Callithrix jacchus: one gene and its partner. The protein of the gene in region 1 interacts with the protein of each later gene in a pairwise test. Links are inferred from orthologs where the notes say so. Each region holds a gene or a part of one and is shown in the gene's direction. Other genes may lie near its edges. The genes, in order: MAPK7 and ubiquitin-conjugating enzyme E2 C.

Region 1 (4,495 bases):
CCCACTGCACTTCAGCCTGGGTGACAAAGCGAGAATCCCTCTCAAAAAAAATAAGAAAAAAAATCCTAGGTCTCCACAACCCCATATTATAACCCAGATATTCCTTTCTATAGATAATAACCCTAATGATATCTTTAAATCTACCTGTGACTTGGAAGTCCCTCCCCTTCGAGTTGTCCAGCCGTTCCAGAATAGACATTGAACAGACATTTCCCCAAAGGAGACAAATGGCCAATAAGCTCATAAAATCAACGTCAAAATGTATTGATTTGTGTATTATGTCTTCCTAAAATGTATAAAGGCGGGCTGTGCCCTGACTACCTTGGGCACATGAGACTATGTTACCACCATGTCCTTAACTTTGACAAAATAAACTTTCTAAATTGACTTTACACTTGTCTCAGATACTTTTTGGTTTACATAGGTTTCTTGTAGGGGCGATGAAGATGTTTTATAAACCACTCCACCTAAAATTAGGCAGTGATGATGGCTGCTCAACTGTGAATACAGCAAAAAACACTGAATTGTACACTATAAAAGGGTTTTATGGTACGTGGCTAAAAGTTGTTTAAAGCTGAGGGACCGTTCCAGTTTTTGGTATGGAATGATCAACAGGAAAAGCGTATAATATGCTACATTTTGTACACGAAAGGGGAGGTATGAATATTTGTATTGCTTTTTTCTAGAAACTGCCTAGGAAGTGAAACCAAGATTCCTCACTTTTCAGCCCTACTTCAGGCTCTTTAGAAAACTTTTCCTCTCAGTTCACACTATCCGCCATGTCCACCTTCTCCCCCTCCTCCGCGTCCCCCGGCACTAAGCCTTAGAGGAGTGGTGCCCGATACATATTTGCTACGTAAGTGAACGAATCAACTATCGAACTCTGGGGTGGGTCGGGGCAGCTGGTTTCCAGCGTGGACTCCGCCGACTCGCGACTCCGAAGAGGGACAGAGGCTGGGCGGCCGTCTCGGTTAACTCCGAAGCAGCCCAAAGCACAGCAATCACGGGACCAACAAACGAACAGAGGAAACATGCCTGGAGGCCCAGAAACCGCGAGGCGCCGTCCAACTTGGCCGGAAGCTGCGGAGAGGTTCAGCCACCGGAAGTCAGCGGACGTTTCGGTCGGACGCTCTGGAATCCCGGAGGACCGGGATCTCTGTGGTTGGCCGTGACGGGCCCCTTTACCGGGGATGATACATTCTCAGAGCTCCTGGGACCGAGAAAATGGTGGGCACAATTCCCTGGGCGGTGGGGACTGATAAGGGAAGGTGCACCCCAAAGAGGGTGACTTCGGGAGCCAGTAGCCAAGGTAACAGTGCCAGTCCCGGGCATCTCAGGCTTCCAGAGAGACCTGCCGTTCCCTGAGCTCACGGGACTAGCTGTGATTGGCCGGACGAGGTCGAGTGCTAGATGGGGACGCGCGCGTTACGTGCAGGGGCGTTCCTTCCATTCACTTGGCGCCTGGCTGCCAGTGCGCATGCGTCTGAAGGCAGTGCCGGGCGGGGAGCACACCCTGCGAAGTGCCCGGCACCCTTTGGGCGTCTCCCGCCTGTTAGCTGGATAGCGGCGCGCGCCAGGCGTGGCTTCCTCGGCCGGTGGGCTCTGATTGGACGCAGCAGGTAGAAGGGACAGGACTCTCCGCAGAAGTAGCTCAGCGATTGGCCAGAAGCTAGAGGGAGCGTGGTCTTGGGAGGCGGGGCGGAGGGGGACGGGCAGGGCAGCTCTCGACGCTGAGGTGGTGGTGGCGGCCCCTGAACAAGTAAGCTGGCCACCCTCGGAGACCCCCGCGCTGGGGACGGGAGGCCGGAGAGCCTCGGGACCTCTGAAAGCCCTGAGGAGGCGCGGGGGTGAGTGCGGCCCCGAGTAAACCCAGGTGCCCCGCCCCTCCCTTTCTTCCTGGCCAGCGCCTCGCTTTCCCCTCCCCTGAACCTGGCGGGGCCCCGGCTCTGGCCTCCGACCCCCGGGGTAGCGTGGTCTGCCCCGAACCAGGCGCGCGCTTCCGGCTCCCGTCGGTTTAGGGAACTGGAAAGTTCCCTGGTCCTGCTCCCCAGCCCGCAGAGGGGACACTGAGGCCTACGGGAGGCGGGCCCCTCCTCACCCGCATCTCCACACAGACACCATGGCCGAGCTCCTGAAGGAGGAAGACAGCGAGGACGGCTCTGCGGAGCCCCCCGGGCCCGTGAAGGGCGAACCCGCCCACACTGCTGCCTCTGTAGCGGCCAAGAACCTGGCACTGCTTAAAGCCCGCTCCTTCGATGTGACCTTTGACGTGGGCGACGAGTACGAGATCATTGAGACTATAGGCAACGGGGCCTACGGAGTGGTGTCCTCCGCTCGCCGCCGCCTCACCGGTGAGCTTCCTGAGCCGTCGACCCCCAGATTTGGCGGCGTTGCAGGGAGTGGGAAAACGGCCCGTCCCACACAGCCGGGAAAGAAAGCAGGGTGCGAGTTCTGGCTCCAATCAACACACACTGACCAGGGCCCTCCGTGTGCCAGCCTCTGAGGAGGCTCGATTCTCCGAAACCCTGGCCTGGTGGTTTTGCCATCCTGCCTACCTACTGCCTCCTTAGAAAAATGACAGTCCCAGTTAGACCAAAATGGAGAGCCAGTCCTTTGTGTCTAGAAGAGAAATGTGTTCTGGAGCCAGACACTGGCACAAGGAACCGGTGGTGGGATGGGTGAGGTCTGAGATGGAGAGGGTGTAGGCATCAGAGGCTGGACTCCACCACTGGGCAGCCGCGCAGCCTCCAACAAGTTACTAAGCCACGTTGACCTTTTGGGACCTGCCCCGTAGGGAAGTTGTGAAGGTAACGTTTAATAACGTAGATAACCTGCTTAGCCCAGGGCTTGGCACATGGTATGTACCCAGTACTTGGTAGCTGTTGTTAATTTGTATCCTAAAAGGGAGGTGTTGATAGGAGCTGGGTTCGACTCTGCAGTTTCTCCAAGGTACTCTCTGGTATGTCCCTGTTCCCTGCTCCTCAGGCCAGCAGGTGGCCATCAAGAAGATCCCTAATGCTTTCGATGTGGTGACCAATGCCAAGCGGACCCTCAGGGAGCTGAAGATCCTCAAACACTTCAAGCATGACAACATCATCGCCATCAAGGACATCCTGAGGCCCACTGTGCCCTACGGCGAATTCAAATCTGTGTAAGAAGCGGGATGGGAGAGGGAGCCAGACTTGGGACCTTTTCTGAAGGCTGCAACCATATTGCTGAAGTTCCAGAAAGGCAGCTGAACCTAATGTGAAGCAGGCTGGGAAAATTCCCGCTATTCTAGGACCCTTCCCCTTTAGAGTGTTGCCAGGGACAACTTATTCCTTAAGAAGAGTACAGATGATTTTTCAATTTTATAGAATCTTAGTGTATAGGATGGCAAATGTAGGACATTCCTACCATGTCTACACCCTCCTATTCCCATAGCTGACTTCACTAATCAATCGCAGAACACTTTCCTACAGACAGTGGACAAGCCTGGTCAGTTTTCATCATAGTTCTTCAAGCTGCCACTACCAAACAATGGAGATAGCCCCAAAAGGAAACCTATTGGCCAGCCCTGGTGTAGTCCAACCCCATTTTTATCTGATGGGGGAAACTAGGTCTGGAGACAAAAGTGATTTAACCAAGTTCATGGAAAAGTCATAGAGAATCTAAAACGTGATGCTCTTCCTCCATACCATGCCGTCACCCCTACGGGGTCCCAGGGTAAGGCTGTTATCTGCCTGGAATCGGAAGGGTGTGGTGAGGATGGGGCTTGTCCCTGGACTGTGGTCAGGCCAACCCATGCTTCTCTCCCTTCCTTCCCCTTCCAGCTATGTGGTCCTGGACCTGATGGAGAGTGACCTGCATCAGATCATCCACTCCTCACAGCCCCTCACGCTGGAACACGTGCGGTACTTCCTGTACCAACTGCTGCGGGGCCTGAAGTACATGCACTCGGCTCAGGTCATCCACCGTGACCTCAAGCCCTCCAACCTATTGGTGAATGAGAACTGTGAGCTCAAGATTGGTGACTTTGGTATGGCTCGTGGCCTGTGTACCTCACCCGCTGAACATCAGTACTTCATGACTGAGTATGTGGCCACTCGCTGGTACCGTGCCCCCGAGCTCATGCTCTCTTTGCATGAGTACACACAGGCTATTGACCTCTGGTCTGTGGGCTGCATCTTTGGTGAGATGCTAGCCCGGCGCCAGCTCTTCCCGGGCAAAAACTACGTACACCAGCTACAGCTCATCATGATGGTTCTGGGTACCCCATCACCAGCTGTGATTCAGGCTGTGGGGGCTGAGAGGGTACGGGCCTATATCCAGAGCTTGCCACCACGCCAGCCTGTGCCCTGGGAGACAGTGTATCCAGGTGCCGACCGCCAGGCCCTATCACTGCTGGGTCGCATGCTGCGTTTTGAGCCCAGCGCCCGCATCTCAGCAGCTGCTGCCCTTCGCCACCCCTTCCTAGCCAAGTACCATGACCCTGATGATGAGCCTGATTGTGCCC
Region 2 (2,956 bases), on another chromosome or scaffold:
GCCACCACACCCAGCTAATTTTTTTGTATTTTTAGTAGAGACGGGGTTTCATCATGTTGGCCAGGATGATCTCAATCTCCTGACCTCATGATCCACCTGCCTTGGTCTCCCAAAGTGCTGAAATTACAGGTGTGAGCCACTGCACCCGGCCAATTTTTGTATTTTTTAGTAGAGACAGGATCTCACCATGTTGGCCAGGCTGGTCTCGAACTCCTGACCTCAAGTGATCCACCCACCTCAGCCTCCCAAAATGCTGAGATTACAGGCATAAGCCACCATGCCCTGGCCTATGCCATTTTATATAAAAGACTTGAGCACCCTTGGATTTGGTTGTCCCCAGGAGGTCCTGGAACCAATGCGCCACAATACCTAGGATGGCTGTACTGTCTCAGTTATCTCTTCTTGCTAAAAAGGCACCCAGAATGTAATGGCTTAAAGCGGGAATTTGGGCAGAGCTCAAAGAGGATGGTGTGGCTCTTCCCCCACTTCATATCAGCTGCTCTCCACTGGGGCTGGGCCAAACTGGAAGTTCCAAAATGGCCTCACTCACATTGTAGTATCCCACTGGTCTGGAGTTGAGTCCAAGGTTCTGGTTCCCTTGAATCCTCTCTTCACCATCATCTGTAGTTCAAGCCCTTATTGTTTCTCACCCAAACTATTGCACCAGCTTTTTGTCAGGTAGATCAACTTAGAACTTGAATGTATTTGCTTACCAACCTTAAGTAGTTCCTATTTTCCATAAGACAAAGCTCAAATCCCCTATAATCTATTTTGGCCTCGTGCCCTACATTCTGCCACTTCCTCTAGCCCTGCTATATATTCAGACTAAATCATACTTCAGCCGGACGCGGTGGCTCACGCCTATAATCCCAGCACTTTGGGAGTTCGAGGCGCGTGGATCATGAGGTCAAGAGATCGAGACCATCCTGGTCAACAAGGTGAAACCCCATCTCTACTAAAAATACAAAAATTAGCTGGGCATGGTGGTGCGCGCCTGTAGTCTCAGCTACTCGGGAGTCTGAGGCAGGAGAATTGCCTGAACCTGGGAGACAGAGGTTGCGGTGAGCCGAGATCATGCCATTGCACTCCAGCCTGGGTAACAAGAGCGAAACTCCGCCTCGAGAAAAAAAAATCGTACTTCTTGTTTCTCAGCCTCACCACATATTTTCTTTTTCTTTTTTTTTTTTTGAGATGGAGTTTCGCTCCTGTTACCCAGGCTGGAGTGCAATGGCACGATCTCGGCTCACCACAACCTCTGCCTCCCGGGTTCAGGCAATTCTCCTGCCTCAGCCTCCCGAGTAGCTGGGATTACAGGCACACGCCACCATGTCCAGCTAATTTTTTGTATTTTTAGTAGAGACGGGGTTTCACCATGTTGATCAGGATGGTCTCGATCTCTTGATGTCGTGATCCACCCGCCTCAGCCTCCCAAAGTGCTGGGAGTATAGGCTTGAGCCACCGCGCCTGGCCCTCCCTGATTTTTAAAAATAAAGTTGGCCAGGCAGTTGCAGTCGTGTTCTCCGAGTTCCTGTCTCTCTGCCAGCGCCGCCCGGATGGCCTCCCAAAACCGCGACCCAGCCGCCACTAGCGTCGCTGCCGCCCGTAAAGGAGCCCAGCCGAGCGGGGGCGCCGCCCGGGGCCCCGTGGGCAAAAGGCTACAGCAGGAGCTGATGACCCTAATGATGTCTGGCGATAAAGGGATTTCTGCCTTCCCTGAATCAGACAACCTTTTCAAATGGGTAGGGACCATCCATGGAGCAGCTGGAACAGTATATGAAGACCTGAGGTGTAAGCTCTCGCTAGAGTTCCCCAGTGGCTACCCTTACAATGAGCCCACGGTGAAGTTCCTCACACCCTGCTACCACCCCAATGTGGACACCCAGGGTAACATATGCCTCGACATCCTGAAGGACAAGTTGTCTGCCCTGTATGATGTCAGGACCATTCTGCTCTCCATCCAGAGCCTGCTAGGAGAACCCAACATCCATAGTCCCTTGAACACACATGCTGCTGAGCTCTGGAAAAACCCCACAGCTTTTAAGAAGTACCTGCAAGAAACCTACTCAAAGCAGGTCACCAGGCAGGAGCCTTGACCCAGGCTGCTCAGCCTGTCCTTGTGTCATCTTTTTCATTTTTCCTTAGGTCTTCTGTCCTTTTTGTGATTTCTGTATAGGACTCTGTATCTTGAGCTGTGGTGTTATTTTTGTTTTGTTTTGTCTTTTAAATTAAGCCTCGGTTGAGCCCTTGTGATGTATATTAAATAAATGCATTTTGGTCGTTTTTTTAGACAAAAAATAAATAAATAAAGTTGGCCGGGGGAAAAAAAAAACAAAAAGAAATAGCTCAGAAAATCTTAGAGATAATACAATGAAATAAACTTATTGAATGTTATCTGTTTTTAAAATGTCAGCATTGCTTTGTAAATACATTGCTTGACATTGCAGCATTTTCAAAAGATTATACTTTTGCAATCTTAAAATGTTTTTAATTTTCTTTCTGAGTTTTTCCACAGTTTATTAGGGAAAGAAGCATAAAAGGAAAACAACAGAAATGTTTTGTTGTTAGGGTGACCTAACAGTAAGTTTAAATACAGGAAATTGGGCACTGTGTTGAATGTCTCCATTATTAGCACATAAGCGATCTTAAATAAATGTCTAGTGCATTAGACACTCTTTAACACAAGGTTATCAGGACTCTGCTTCCAAGGGCAGGCTGGCAACATATTTCAGGAAAGATGTGATGATTCTAACGTAGTCTTTGAGCTATGCGAGCAATACAGCAGTGAAGACTCACGAACATTTTTCCCTTCCTGTCTCCCCCCAAGCCCCAGAAATGTTAGGGAACAAGAAGGAAAGAAAAGCCTGTACTGCATATTTTCCAGGCACCAAATAGCATCAAAGGGCAGTATGATACTACAAACTTTGGCTAATAAAATAAACTGACACAATTAAATGAC

What was found.
Region 2: the proteins of MAPK7 (region 1) and ubiquitin-conjugating enzyme E2 C interact in binary tests that used the Homo sapiens proteins (3 or more experiments, as listed by UniProt). The two-hybrid records come from large-scale screens. The link is inferred for Callithrix jacchus from reciprocal best matches to the Homo sapiens genes MAPK7 and UBE2C.

The regions. Positions count from the first base shown.
Region 1 is NC_133506.1:83,276,668-83,281,162, forward strand, and holds the start of MAPK7 (mitogen-activated protein kinase 7), read left to right. Parts: upstream 1-1,470; 5' UTR 1,471-1,619; intron 1,620-1,703; exon of another isoform or gene 1,704-1,847; intron 1,848-2,114; 5' UTR 2,115-2,119; coding exon 2,120-2,351; intron 2,352-2,985; coding exon 2,986-3,151; exon of another isoform or gene 3,152-3,705; intron 3,706-3,812; coding exon 3,813-4,495. UniProt on the Homo sapiens protein: Plays a role in various cellular processes such as proliferation, differentiation and cell survival. The upstream activator of MAPK7 is the MAPK kinase MAP2K5.
Region 2 is NC_133507.1:94,914,904-94,917,859, reverse strand, and holds ubiquitin-conjugating enzyme E2 C, read left to right. Parts: upstream 1-1,500; 5' UTR 1,501-1,553; coding exon 1,554-2,093; 3' UTR 2,094-2,282; downstream 2,283-2,956. UniProt on the Homo sapiens protein: Accepts ubiquitin from the E1 complex and catalyzes its covalent attachment to other proteins. In vitro catalyzes 'Lys-11'- and 'Lys-48'-linked polyubiquitination.